Linked DNA regions of Daphnia pulex. The protein of the gene in region 2 interacts with the protein of the main gene of each other region in a pairwise test. Links are inferred from orthologs where the notes say so. Each region holds a gene or a part of one and is shown on either strand. Other genes may lie near its edges.

Region 1 (7,293 bases), on a different chromosome or scaffold from region 2:
TTGTGTCAACTCTTTAGGGAGAAAAAAAAATGCGTCAAATTAAAGAAGACAAATTTTTTGAAGGGCAGAAAATTTTATTCATTCAACAAAACCACGCTTCCAATTACAAAAGATGCAACAATGCAACTTGATAGAAGCGACGGTTGAAGGAACTGTTTTTGGGCGACTTACCTCGTACTTTATCTGGAAAAATCTTGATTCAGGATAGCAATCCAATATGAAGAATTTGAACTATGAAATTTGAAATTAACGTAGTATGATCTCACTATTCCTTGTTTACAAGAGTCGACCGGCATTTTAGGCCAAATACATAAACCCCTGTACGAAGGAGCGGCCGATGCATCGATTGCCTAAGCCGCCATTGGGATATGCTTCAAGAAAGCGAAAATGCCAAGCGAACTGCCACGCCACTAGTGACAAAATTTCGAAGCTTTTTGTTTTATTTAATGTATCGATAGTAACGCGGGAAACTTAACTATCGATATACACTCGTAGAATTGTTTTTGATGGGAAAAATGAAACGCGTGTATTTTTGTGAGGGCGAGAGTTCGATGCGGTTTGCACACCTTACAGCAAAAAAAAGGATAAGACGAAAAATGTTCATTTAAAAATCCCCTCTCAACATTGAATACAGTGAATCACTCGATGCCATAAATTTTCAGCGTACGATCCATACTCACAGACGCTATCGACTGCGCATGGTTGCCGAAACGGACTCCCATAGCCAATGCTGTATGGTCGTTAAAAGTCTTAAGAGTTTCCCATTGCTTGCAGAGATAAACACGCACGTCGGTACCAGCCACAGCAAGGTAGGTGCCGCTTTGATCGAAGCACAAGTCCTTAACTTCGTATCCTTCGTCGAGCTGAATTGTTTTAAAATTCTTCAATTTCCGTAAATCCCACAATTTGACGCAAGAGTCTTCTGCCGCTGTAGCCAAATAGTAACCATTTTCTGAAAATGACAAAGCCGCAATAGGACCGGAATGACCTGTAATTGTAAAAATGGTAATAGTAAAGCTAATGTTTATCACAAGATTATTTTAAAAGAGCCAAACCTGGAAAGTTGGCCACGTTAGATTGTTCTTTTAAATCCCAAATTTTGATCTGTGAATCTTGTGTTCCAGTGCCGAAAATGAGACCATCTGGATGGAACTGGGCTGTCGTAAGCGGATTTCCGTCTGTGTCGGCAACCTTTGTCAACAACCGCCCAACGCGAATGTCTGAAAATGCCCAGTGTTGATCCAGTGACGTCGACAAAACATATTCTCCGGTTGCGTGGAGCGACAAGCCTGTGACAGGGCCATCATGAGCACGGATGATGGCAGATTGTGAGGAGCCGGTTATATTCCAAACACGAATCGTCGCATCAGGAGATGCTGTTATCGCGACTTCCTATAACAGATTCAAGGGGTATATTAGTATCATATAACAAAGTAAATCAAGAGAAAATTAAAAGAAAACATGAAATTACCTCTTCTGGATGATAAAGCACCTTGGTAACTTTTTTTGTATGTCCCTTGAGAACAGCAACAACCTGCTCAGTGTCCTTGTTAAAAACTGTAGCGCATCGATCGTTACCTCCAGTCAAAATATGAGAAGTATCGGCGGCGTGAACGTCCATGGTCAAAATTCCGGGCATACTTGCACTGTGCAAAGCCTATATGTAATCAATCCATGAAGATGGGATAACATTTCAAAATTATATGTCATTACCGGATGAGATGCCAAAGTTTTATATCCCTTCAAAGCTTCTGCTGTAGCTAAGCCTTCGGGCATGGTTTTGCCTCTACGTTTTCGTTCTTGAGTAAGAACAGTGGCTTTATCTTGTAATTGTGATATGATTTCCGGAGTTAATCCAGCTGCCTCGATCGGTTGTGCTGCCACACCACCCGCTTCAGCCTTACATCAAATCAGTAAATTTATCATAAATAACATACAAATAAATATCATAATGCTTTCTTACTGAGGCAGCAACAGATGGTGTAGATACAGCAGCATAGCCAGTCTGGGGCTTAAGAGTTGCAAGTGCTTCCCGTGCTGTAGACACTTCCTTGTGGAGGCGTGCAATAACACGACAAGCAGCATCATGTTGGTAGAGAGCATGACTACAAATAGAAAGAGAATGTTTGCACAATAATTCCATGTGTAATTAAGTTGGTCAATACCTCAATTCTTGTCGAGCAGTTTGTAATTGTTGCCTCAAAGTAAAGGAATTTAACATGACAGCATCCCATTCATCTTGTAAAGACTTAAGCACGGCGGGAATGCTTGTTGCAGATGGCACTTTAGGCTTAACAATTGGGGGGGCTAGAAACAAAATTTCAATTACATGTAAATTCATTGTGGAACTTTGATAAAAAATTTCTTACTTTTGATTTCAATAAGTTGATCTACAGTTATTTCTTTCCCATTGATGGGATCTACCCCGTTATCAGCAATGTACTTTTCAATCAGCCGACGTTCAAACACAGATCCTGACACCGGTGAGACCACAGGATGTTCGGGAACTTCGTTCGACACTATATAAGCAAGAGATATAAGACATTAAATATCAAATTTCTCAGAAGAATGGATTGGTTTTAAATTGATATTTATAATGAAAATGTAATATTACGAGAACAACAGAGGGCCATGATGAAGCGTGTAACCTTTTTTTATATACTTTTCACAAAAATGTGCGACAAGCCAAGATGCATATGTTCGCTTCGCTTAGGGCTAAACAGTTGCTAGACTACACTATTCAATAAAGCGCTTCATTCCTCAGTGCGAGTTTTCTTTTCTTTTCAAAATCCAATCATTTTTTTAAGACTCAGAAATTTTTTTATTGGAATGTGTAAAAGAAACAGCATAGTTTTTTATAAGTAATAATTTCATAATTTAAGTTTCAAGTTTTCAACTAGAAAAAGTGTCCAGGCAACGGTGCAAACTGACTGAAATGCCGGGCCAGCCATTTCCCCCATTTCTCAACTGAAGAAGCCAACCCAAGCGCAGTGCGAACACTCCTCGAAAATTTGAAAGATTCGTTTACTGTTATATTCAATTTAAACTGAACAATGGCCTCTCAACAAAAATTCCCTGGAAAAGAAGGTGGTGATAATTCGAATGAACAAGGGTAAGAAATTTTTTCCATTTATAATATGACATGTGAAGTTCATGGGAGAATGTAAATCCATGACGCCGTACACTAAGCTTTTCATGATTTGCGTCCATTTACTATTTTTTGGTACGAATCTTGTTTTTTTAGTAAAATGTTCATCGGAGGTTTAAGCTGGGAAACGACGCGCGATAATTTGCTTCGATATTTCAGTCAGTATGGTGAAGTTGTTGACTGTGTGGTAATGAAGAACCCAGAAACTGGTAGATCGAGAGGGTTTGGGTTCATTACATTTGCTGATCCTAACAATGTTGGTTTAGTACTACAAAACACACCCCATATACTCGATAATCGCACAGTAAGTTTTTATATTTTCTTCATACTCTTATTTGCACTACCTGAGCGGTGATAGAATGTTTAACATAATTTTATCTCCTTTCGCGGTATTGCTACATAGAAGTGGAAGGAATTGAAGTTTATATCTCAACTTGAGATATATATTTGATTTCTTTCTACATTTTTGGTTGTTTTTTATGATCTCATATTTTTATGTTTATGCAGATTGACCCCAAACCTTGTAATCCACGTGCCGAAATGGTACGCGCTCCTCGCCGGAGTATGGGTACAGGAAATGGTTACAAAGTATTTTTAGGTGGGCTTCCATCAAACTTGACAGAAACAGATCTTCGTAACTTCTTCTCGCAGTACGGAAAGGTCTCTGAAGTCGTTATCATGTACGACCAAGAAAAGAAAAAATCTCGAGGTGAGTCACTTTCCTCAATTAGTGGGTATTAAAGTTAATTAAAACAGCGTAAATAAACTATGAACGTCCTTACATAACGTATGACGCAAGTGTAAGTGGTTATATTCCGAAGATTCGATGGATTCCTTTTTTGATAACTTTGCTAACTTTAATAGTGTGGTTATTTTATTCCTATAGGTAAGCAAATGGCTAAGTTCCTATCCACGTTTACTTCTACTGCTCATGTGAAAGAGTTTCCGCGAATTACAGTAGATAATATGCCATTAAGGAACTTGGGAGGGTGGATTTACAAGTTTTACATCTGACTAAATATTGGCATACCCATTGGGTTGAGTCAATATTTCTTTCATAATCACAACTCTAGTTTTTAACGATGTATTAGATTTATTTCTCTTCAAGTATTAGAATCCGGTATCAATCTCATCAGATCTACAGTCAAAAGTTATGGTTGAAAAATAATTTAGTCAGGCCTGTCCCAAGATTTCTTCTAATGATTATTAATGAGATCAAAGAAAGATGTAAAGAAAAGTGGTATAAAAAAAGTGTAATAAGCAATTTGGAAAACCTTGGGACAGGCTTTGGCTTTTTGACCTTTGAATCGGAGGAGTCGGTGGATCGCTGCACTGGTGAACACTATGTTTCAATCAATGGAAAGCAGGTATTCTATCATCAAAACAACAACCAATGTCCCTCTCCCTTACTCTTTGTGAAAAACGCAATCGGAAGTATGAATAATCAGGGCTCACCATTGTTTAAACCTCGCCGACACTTGATCTTATATATTTTTAAAGTTTATTTAGAAAATGTATCTAACCGTCGAGTTAAGCTGGTCTTTGTACCAATCTATTGGTCTTCTAAATAGTAATTGTAATTAACTCATAGAAAACAATAGATAATCTTATCAATAATGTAACAAGTTAAGGTCGGTGGTGAGCTCTCTTTATTGTTTTAAAAAAATATGAATGCATAATAATTCGTTCTAATGTTAGAATTAACATTAGTCATCAAACAAGGAATAAAGATTTCTTTTGGACCATAGGTTGAAATCAAGAAAGCAGAGCCCCGTGATACTCGAGGATCATCTGGTGGAATGAGACGTGGAGGACACAATGGTGGATGGGAAGGTCCGGGAATGGGAATGCATGGGGTAAGTCACTAAGCTTTCTTGCTCAAACTTAAGTTACAAACAGATTTTAAATAATCGATTTGTGTTTTTCTTTTTTCTTTTTTTTTTTTTGCGTTTTTGCCATTTAGGGTATGGGTCCTATGGGTGGCCCAATGGGTGGACCGATGGGCCCTCCCATGGGTGGTGGTTATCAAGGATGGGGTGGACCTGCCAATCAAGGTGGATATGGATATGGACCCCAAGGTGGATATCAAGGATGGGGCCCACAAGGGCAGTGGGGAGGATATGGAGGAGGACCAGGAGCTAATTATGGCTATGGTAATAAAGTGTATGCTGATAAAGTGATTGTTTCTTCTCCAGGATATATTTCGAAGATAAATTGGCTGAGATTTTCTAAATAGAAGTTTTTCCATGAATCACATTGTCTTTGATACCGCGTAGATGAATGAAAATAAGAACGTGTTAAACTATATAGGCCCTCAAGGTGGACCTCAACAAGGTGGATACAACAACTGGAATTGGGGAGGACCGGGCCCACAAGGAGGTGGACCTGGTGGCCCAGGTCCCAACGGCGATATGTATGGTAGAGGTCCTAACCCAACTAATGGTGGTCCTCCGGGCGCAGCTGCCCCTACTGGACCTGGAGTTCCTGGAGTAAAAGCTGAACCTGCTCAGTACGGTGCTGGATACGGAACTAATGGCTATGGAACAGTAAGTTAATTGTGCGAGTCAAATGTTACATTTTTTTAGGAATTCAATCGTTTTTTTTTTTATTATTATCCAAGGACGTTAACCAAGGATACAGAGGAGGATACGCCCAAGAAGCTAACGCTCAAGGATATGGAGGTGGACAAGGTGATTGTTAATTTAGTTTTTACAAAAAAGGATCTTTATGATAATTATGGTTATTTTTTTAGGCTATGGAAATCCAGAAAGAGTCCCACCACCTGGCGTTGCACCTGCCGGTAATGGTCTTGGTGTTCCTGGAGCAGGAGCCGGAGCTGCTGGCCCTGGAGGACCGGGTCCTCAACGAGGAGGTGGTCACCACCACCAGCCGTCGCAATCTCAATACCACCCATATCGCCGAGGAGGCGTTTGAGAAAATCATCAGTGTTTTTTTTTTGTGTGTTTTAAGTTGCACATTGCTTAGCCCTATGGCTGGACAAACATTTAAATGATGGCCAATCTGTCGTGCATTCGGTGTGTTCTTGTCTGTATCGTTTCGACGTTTCTCTTTGAATCCCGCCCTAACATTACGTTCTGAACCTGAGCTATTCATGACTTTTCGATGCGTTCGAATAAAACTGTAGTTAATTAGTTCTTAAATCCTTGTGTGCAAGTTTCTTTAAAAAAATCCGAGATAGTATGCACTTTCAAACTTCCGATTACACGTTGATTGAATTGCAATTTTGCTGGTACTGATCTATACTAATAACAATCACGATTTACACTTTGATATTTAATAAACTACTGATCACTTATCTTTGAAAAAAAAAACCTGTCTCTAAACTTTTTCAACAGAGGGCTGGGTAACCCTATGACTTCTCTTGTGTTTTGGGTAATGTCGTCTGCAACAATGTACAGTACACAACACAACTACACATTGTTCTGCAAGTCAGTTAAGAGATCTACTAAAATTTTAAATAATTCACCATTTCTTTAGTTTAAATTAAGCACTCGTTAAGCTTCTACGATAAAAAATTAGATGACTTCGTTAAATTTGTTGGTGGGTTATGGATCGGATAGCTCGGAAAGTTCTGGAACGGAAACAAAAGAATCAACACAAACAGAACTTGCTGAAGATCCTGTGAAATCAAAAATCAAAAATAATTTTTTTCAGGTTTTTGATGATAGTAGTAGTGGGTATGACAAATTTCTCTATGAATTTTTTAAATTTCTAAATATTTCATTTTTTAGTGAAGAAAACGATCAAGCAGATAACTTTTCGTTGCAAGATGAACATTTAAAGAACTTGAAAAACCCTTTTCGCAGTTCAGAGACTTCAGTGTCAGGAAAATCTGTGTTTGCAAATCCATACAAAGAAGCAGAGGAAGCAGAAAAGGGCACACTTGAAAAGCATGTAAAATTCACCCCCAAACTTGAAGACATCAAAGAAATCAATGGGAGAAAAATTTGCTGGAACTATAGGAAAGGGAGGTGCAGATTTGGGTCAAACTGTGTCTTTGCTCATGACTCTGAGCTCTTGCAGAAGAAACAAAATCAAGAAATAAATCAGCAAAGTGTAAGCAGTTCTGATTATGATCAGGACTCTGTCATTACATCTCAAACCACTTCTCATGCAACAAAAAG
Region 2 (7,453 bases):
TAATGCTCAAGCGCAAAGACATTTTCCTGGCCAGCAGTCGGACATTGCTAGACAGCCTGCCATTCGTCGACTCTCACGAGATGTTCCGCAGCCACAGCAACACCCGCTTTACACTTGCCTGAAGTGTGGACAAGAAGCTCAGCAAAAGTGCAGCGGGTGTCAAACCACATTCTACTGTTCCCGTGACTGTCAGGTAATATCGCAATTCAGTTATTGTATACTTGTTTTGTAACGTTTTGTTTTTTTAAATAACGATTGTAGGTTGCGCATTGGGATGAACATGGTAAAACGTGCTCAAAACAGGCTTGACGAGAACGCGAAGGCTTACCAACCAAGACCCTAAATAGTATCCTAGTCCTCGGGTGTGAAGGAGTGACAAAATTGAATTTTCTGATGACAAGTGTTGCGTCCTATCTGTTTTCTAGAATTTGTTTGATGCGTTTAAACGTCCTTCGAGTGGCTCAGTTTAATCTAGCGGTGCTACGTTTCTAAGACAACAGCTGTCATCAGTATTATGCACAAAACAAGGTAGAGCCGTTTTATTTTTCTCATGTGTCTCCTGTTCTACACGTCAAAGTTGAACGTTTAGCAGGTTTTGTTTATTTGTGAAATGGAATGGAATGTGCCTGTACAAGTGTGTACATGCTGTTTAGTCATCGCTGAAGGATATAATTTCCTCTTTGTTTTAATAGAATTCAGACTTGTCGCTATTGTAATTTCATTTTTTAATAAATTTAAATTTGGTGTTGAAAATACAATCAGGATGATTTTTTGTTAACCTTGATCGTTTTGATCATCATGCAGCAACGTCGAAAAATGTATCGATTACCGATGAAATTTGGGCCGGTGAGTACTTGATGTATTTTTCACTGTGTTTGCTGAACTGCGCGTTGCTGTACTTGTCATAGAAAGCCTGATACTTCGGCAGGATGTACTCTTTGTTATCACGCTTCAGACTCTCGCGAAGCTCAACGTCTGGCACTGAATAACCTCGTTGCTCTCTGGACAATTCTTCAAACTCCTTGTTAAGGGTCTAAAAGATTTATCGGATCAAAAAACAACATTTTAACACATGTAAAGCTTATATTTTAACTTTTGAAGACCTACCGAGAACTTTTCTTTAATTAAAGCTTTATCCTTTTCCCGTAACCTGCCGGAAAGAAGTACAGATGCTGGAACATCTTCCGAATTCCATATTGGGGCTAAGACCTTGTTCCAACTGTAGGTTATTTAATTAATTGAATAGTAACGGTGAGTTCAACAAAAAATTCAAAGGAAAGGAACAAAGTATCAATACCTTTGAGAATAAAGCCTCTTCTGTTCGTTGATCATTTCTCGGTAAATCGGCTCGCATTCTGGTTCCACAACCTAAAAACACCAAAATATGTGATTACATTTACTTTGACTACAATTTTGTGCTTTACCTTCAACAGGTCTAGTAGGCCACTACGCTGTAGTGCGCTTAACAAATAGTGGCTGTTATTTAATCGAAAAATATAGCGCAAAGAAGAATCGCTGTACGCATCGCTTTTAGTAACTAAAGTTAAATTTAGTTGAACCAACACTTTTTCTAAAAAAAAAAGGGTAATTTGTTAATCAAACCAGATTTTAAGTTAAACCTGAACAAGAAAAATGAATTACTGATATAAAGTCCTAGTAAAGCTTTGTTTCTCTGAGGTTTCGGCCAGGGTTGAGTGTGTACCAATGCGTTGGAATAACTTTGATCTTGGGCGAGAAGCGGACCGACTGTGTCAGACAAATCAGTCAACTGGCCGAGAAAAAGAACGACATTGCTCGTCATTTCATAGACCGTGCCATCTCTAGGCAATGGAGCTGCAGATTCAGAACGCACAGATTCTGCAAAGTCTTCAAGGGCCTTGCCGCACTAATCAATCACAAAATAACACAGTGATAAAAACGAATCTAAATTATGGTGAGTTATTAGCTTACGGTTGTATGGAGATTATTAACCATTGCGTAAAATCGTGTGCGAACAGAAGAATCGCATCCTTCCAGCAATTTATCACAGTCGCCTTTAAAACACACTAAATGGCGTAAGGCAGGAAAAAGAAGCAAAACGGGACCGAACTCTTGACGAGAAACACTTCGGCGCGCTCGGCCGCTTAAGCTCTAAAAATTAGTAAAGTACAAGAATGACTAACCGATGAAATTGAATCAAGAATATTTCCAACCTCGGCATCGTGACAGATCATTTCCAATGCGTCTCTGAGAATGATAGACAGAACAGCTTTTTGATGCGGCAAAGGGACAATACCCAACATAAGTCTCAGTTCACTCTGCAGTAGTCGCAAAAGTGCCGTGAATTCGGTTAAGAACGATTCGATTTCGTGTTCTTCGACAGCATCTTCTTTTATACTGTCTGAAGAAGAAACAATAATGATAATTGGGAAAAAGTAAAATAAATTTAATTTCGTCTTCTCACCCGCAGCGCTTCTCCTGGGGCCCAAAGCCAGTCCTGTAGAGCTTTCCAACGTTTGAGAAGCTTTCAAAAGCATTTGGTTGGCCTTGCGCTCAAGCATTTGCTGTAGTTTCTTAGATGTCTTTCTACTTGGAGTGTCATAACTGGCTTTGACACCTGATTTTGCCTGAAAATTATAAAAGAAGTTCATTATATATTGCCTAATAGTAGTCACAATAAATATTAGATTACCAGCAATGTAGCCGTTCCCGACATGGCAGCTACGGGACTCACGCCTTGGTGACTCGATACCCCAGTAGATGAACTTCTCAAATGATCACGAAGGCCAAGAAGGGTTTTCTGCACAGTATTTGCGCGAAACCGAGCGTAAACCTGGAAAGTAAATCAGTGACAAAGTTTATTTAATATGTCGTGGATTAATGATTGATGATTACAAGTTACATTCATGAAGTCATCTTCATTGTGAGTTACAAGCCAATCAGCTATTTGCATCAAATTGTCTTTCACATCTGCAGAGAAGTGATTTATACTTATCTCCTCTGGAATGAAAATGGAACATTACATTGAATTTTCAGGTAGTTATAGATAAATGGGGTTCACCTTCATCATTTGCTAGAGCTTCCAAAAGTGCTGTAGCAGGAATGGTTTGACTATGTTTTGCTAGGTGTTCTTTAAATTCGCTGATAATATTATCTTTGCCAGTTTCAAATAGGCTCATCTAATACAAAAGTTGTTTTTTAAGTTTGTAAGGTATGGTGATTGTAAATAAAAATGAAACTTACAACATTTTCTAACTCCACACTCTGTGGATTATTTCTCTCAAAGAAATGCATAGCTTCTTGCAATCGACCGAGGGATTGGAGAAAAATTTCTAGACCCTGACTTGAAGGGCTCTCTTTTATGACAGGCTCAACTTCCTTGCTGACACTGTAATAGCTAATGACATGATCCAAAGAGGCTAATGTTTTATCAATGTCTATAAACACGAAGAAAGTTAAAAAGAAATTTAGATTTTGTAAATTTAGAAATACAAGAAATATTGATATTATATGAGATCTCATTAATAATTTACTTTCTTGTTTCTGTTGCAAATTTTTTGTCTCATTGTAGACTGGTAAAATGGTCTTTTCAAGTCTCGCAAGCCTTTCATCAAATGAAGTCAAAATATTGACCATTCCATTAGTAAGCTGAGAACTTCTAGAAGCAGCATCTTGAAGAAAGACTAGTCCTGTCAGCACCTTTACCAATCATTAATTAAACCCATTATTTGTTTGATACAATATGTCAATATAACCAGTCATATATGTGAGTATCCAGTCACAGCAAAGAAATTTGAATTTTGTAACAAGAAATTGAGTTTAATATTCAAACCTTTAAAATTAGTATTTAAAACAAATAAAATCAAATGATATAAAGAAGAACTAAGTAGGCCTATATAAAACAAAAAAGTAACCTTTTCATGTTTATGATTAAAATCTGACATTTTGCTGAATTTCTGTCAGTTGTTTCGTTTCTCGCCATCTACCGGCTAGAAAAAAACGGTCTTTTATTTCGGTAGGGTAGACGGTAGGTAAATAGGTAATTAACAAAAAAAAGTAAATTCCTCGATTGGTGCGTCAAGTTGAAGTTGGACAAAGAAAAAAATCTAAAAAAGACGTCGCCGTCTATTATGGAAGAAAATATTCAACGTTGAGTCCATTATAATCGCAAGCACATGGGAGCAATCCGAGCCCCACTAAAATGTGGCTAATGACGAAATACGGCTCATAAAGAAAAAAAGCGCTCAGATATACCAGTTTGTTTTGGTAAAAGGTAATCTGAGGTAAAATGGAAATCTGATTTTACTAAGTTCTAAATGGGTTCTTGTTTTCACGGAAGTTGTGTCGTAGAAAAATGGGAAAACTCCAAAACGGTGGTGACTCGTGAACTATTTTGCCGTCACCCTTTCGATGACCCGCAGTTCTACGTTTTTTTGAAGCGACTTTAAATTATTTTAATAACCTTTTTACGATTTTGTTGTTTTTCCTGCAACATTCTTTTTTTTTAAGATCGCTTGAATAGCCCTCTATTGAGATCGATTATGAACCAACCTGGCCACCTGTTGAAAATAGTCAACACTAACCTTGAAAAAAGAATAAATTTTGAAGCCAGCCCAGCACCAAGAAATGTCAAATACACAAATGTCAATGTCAAATGTCAACGTGAGAAACTCGTGCATGGTTGTAATTCAATTACGTAACTGCTTTGTCTAAATTCCAAGCCAACTTATTAGCTTGACCCCGTAAGTGTATGAGTAGTCCTCCTTGGGTAAAGAATCAAGAATGAAGTACACACTTCCCTTAATGTGTGTTTTCCTCTTATTAATAAATTGTCAAATGGTTTTATCAATACTACCAATTGTGATCTGGCACGGATTAGGTAATCACATTTAAGGTTTCTACTTCATTCACAATTTCATGATAAATTTTGAAATGGGTATGTAGGTGATGTTTGCTGCAATCCATTGAGTATTGGGGGCCTACAAAAATTTATACAACAACAAATTCCTGAGGTCTATGTAATTTCGCTGAAGATTGGCAAGACCATTCGTGAGGTATTAATTCAGTATAGCTCAATTAAAAATTTACACCAACAATTCCAATATTATGTAGGATTTTGAAAATGCATACATCAAGAATGCAAACGATCAAGTTGAATTTGTGTGTGATCTGATCAAAAATGACCCTAAATTAGCATTAGGATATCATGGATTAGGGGTATCTCAAGGGGGGCAGTTCTTGTAATTATATCTTTATTGTTGAATAGTTAAGATTATCTTTGAATCATTTTAATTTTCTGCTTATTATAGGAGAGCTGTAGCTCAACGTTGCCCTGATCCTCCGATGGTAAATCTAGTCACTTTAGGCTCTCAACACCAAGGTGTATATGGGTTACCCCGTTGTCTAGGAGATGATGTCAAATTTTGTGACTATGTTCGCTCGCTACTTAATCATGGAGCTTACAAAAAGTTTGTCTACTTGAGACCTATACATTTACAAAAATAATTTTAACAGAACTAATTTTATCAAGATGGATTCAAAATTTTGTTACTCCTGCTGAATATTGGCATGATCCACTAGATGAAAAGGCATACAAAAAAGCAAGTGTATTTCTTGCGGATATCAATAACGAAAGGGTATGAGAATTTTTCATTGGTCCTATTTTTAACTGAAATCGAAACTATCTGCTATTTCTTTTAATAGTCTGTAAATGATACATACAAAAATAACCTTAAGCAACTGAAAAACTTCGTCATGGTTAAGTTTACTAAAGATACAGTTGTCCAACCAATTGAAACAGGTACGCGCCGCTTTAAAGCTCAATTGAATCGCGACATTTTTAACAGTGTGTTACTCTTCACCTTTAATATATCCGTGCAGAATGGTTCGGTTTTTATAAGGAGAATGATTTGAACTCAACTTACACTCTTCAAGATTCGCAACTTTACCTTGAAGTACATCGTGTCTTACATTACAATTTTCTATTAATTACATTTAAAAAAAAATCTCTTAGGATCGCCTTGGTTTACGTGCAATGGATGATGAAGGAAAACTCCATTTCCTACAAGTGGAAGGTGACCATATTCAATTTAGCCAAGCATGGTTTAAAAACGAAATCATTGATAATTTCTTGCGATAAATGATTGAAATTGTTAAAAATGTGTGATAATTTTTTCTTATAACCGTTTCCGTCTGATACGTCATGTTATACATAAACTACAATAATCGTTCATCCCGATATCGGCGGCTGAACGATTCTAAAACTATTGGTAGATCAATACAACATCCTCGTCAAAAAGTGGTAGCGTTTGCCAGCTAGTTAATACGTGCGCCCCGGTGCGAGAAACTTCTTATTTATAAAAAGTTATTATAATAGTCACAAGTCCCGGCGAACAAAAGACGGTCTCCAATTGCAAAATAACATATACTGACATCTCCCACGATTTTAATATCATTAAGGGAACATGCGTAGCCTAAACAGTGAAAAATTACATTAATAATAGCAAACTTCCTATTGACGCATGTTCCCATAGATTATATACAAAGAACGACGAGGATGTCCAGACTAGCATCGAACACTTGTCGACATGCGCAGACACATTAGTGTCCAACAAGTATTTACGACCTACTCAATATAAAGTTGGTTTTTTGTTTGTTTTGCAGTTTGTGTTTGGAGGACTGTTTTTTTTTGTCACTTTGATCCTGGGATTTTGAGGTTATTAGGTATAGATTTGTTCGTCAATTACTAAAGAAACCAAAATTCAAATTTCCGAGATATTTTCATATTCATTTTCAAACAGAGTTCCTCAATATGGAATAGTGCAGAAGTCAATCAGGACTGAGCTAATATATCTCCTTTATATTCTCTTATCGGTAATTTGTTTTTATATGGTGATTGATATCCATCCTATCGTTTAATTTTATATAATTTAAAAAAAATATAGCGTAAAATTTATTAACTGGACTCTATGCCATCTAGCGGCAAACATTAATGTCATTTTTATTATAAACAATGGCTGCTCACGATTGGGTGTGAAGCTTTGTCCAGAAGAGAAACATCAGGGCAAGCAAGGTAAATTATCTTTATAGCATGTGCATGGGATATGTTTTGTCCTTCTTTTGTAAAACTATTTAACATAAACTTCAATAGAAAATGGCAGCCCAAATCGATAAGGGGGCTGTCGATGGGAGGGCATCAAGATGCGATCCCGATGAAACAACCCCCACAGTGATAAACAATCATTGCATTAAGCAGACCATCAGAAAAATCAAGCCCATCCCGCCTCCACTAGATTTAAGCAAAAGGGGACCACTGGATTTAACCAGCTCAGAAAGTGTTAGTGACTTTATCAGCTTTTCAGCCAGCCCAAGAAGTCCTGCTAGCTCAAATCAAAAGCACTTGCCGTTTCGTAAAAGGTTAGAAATTTATTTTTGATCCTCCTGATTGTATTTTGAATCTTCCTCATAACTTTTT

The links.
Region 1: the proteins of exocyst complex component 7-like (region 2) and pre-mRNA-processing factor 19-like interact in a two-hybrid assay, tested with the Homo sapiens proteins (2 studies listed by BioGRID and IntAct, with this or other methods). The link is inferred for Daphnia pulex from reciprocal best matches to the Homo sapiens genes EXOC7 and PRPF19.

What each region holds. Positions count from the first base shown.
Region 1 is NC_060022.1:3,390,903-3,398,195, reverse strand, and holds pre-mRNA-processing factor 19-like, read right to left. Parts: upstream 2,747-7,293; 5' UTR 2,634-2,746; coding exon 2,615-2,633; intron 2,520-2,614; coding exon 2,370-2,519; intron 2,308-2,369; coding exon 2,166-2,307; intron 2,106-2,165; coding exon 1,964-2,105; intron 1,900-1,963; coding exon 1,714-1,899; intron 1,658-1,713; coding exon 1,472-1,657; intron 1,393-1,471; coding exon 1,056-1,392; intron 989-1,055; coding exon 639-988; 3' UTR 501-638; downstream 1-500. Other genes in the region: heterogeneous nuclear ribonucleoprotein 27C-like, read left to right, coding at 3,054-3,112, 3,245-3,452, 3,656-3,857, 4,433-4,515, 4,897-5,004, 5,112-5,301, 5,459-5,694, 5,769-5,838 and 1 more; uncharacterized protein LOC124195731, read left to right, coding at 6,689-6,846, 6,901-7,293. UniProt on the Homo sapiens protein: Ubiquitin-protein ligase which is a core component of several complexes mainly involved pre-mRNA splicing and DNA repair. Required for pre-mRNA splicing as component of the spliceosome.
Region 2 is NC_060020.1:3,979,001-3,986,453, forward strand, and holds exocyst complex component 7-like, read right to left. Parts: upstream 4,026-7,453; 5' UTR 3,924-4,025; coding exon 3,894-3,923; intron 3,758-3,893; exon of another isoform or gene 3,735-3,757; intron 3,679-3,734; coding exon 3,513-3,678; intron 3,417-3,512; coding exon 3,223-3,416; intron 3,159-3,222; coding exon 3,041-3,158; intron 2,980-3,040; coding exon 2,882-2,979; intron 2,813-2,881; coding exon 2,672-2,812; intron 2,607-2,671; coding exon 2,444-2,606; intron 2,381-2,443; coding exon 2,193-2,380; intron 2,131-2,192; coding exon 1,951-2,130; intron 1,886-1,950; coding exon 1,642-1,885; intron 1,571-1,641; coding exon 1,425-1,570; intron 1,369-1,424; coding exon 1,298-1,368; intron 1,220-1,297; coding exon 1,108-1,219; intron 1,034-1,107; coding exon 797-1,033; 3' UTR 711-796; downstream 1-710. Other genes in the region: uncharacterized protein LOC124192964, read left to right, coding at 1-193, 262-309; palmitoyl-protein thioesterase 1-like, read left to right, coding at 4,762-4,858, 4,924-5,033, 5,092-5,219, 5,289-5,447, 5,510-5,615, 5,683-5,779, 5,860-5,933, 5,993-6,118; transcription factor SOX-13-like, read left to right, coding at 7,133-7,395. UniProt on the Homo sapiens protein: Component of the exocyst complex involved in the docking of exocytic vesicles with fusion sites on the plasma membrane.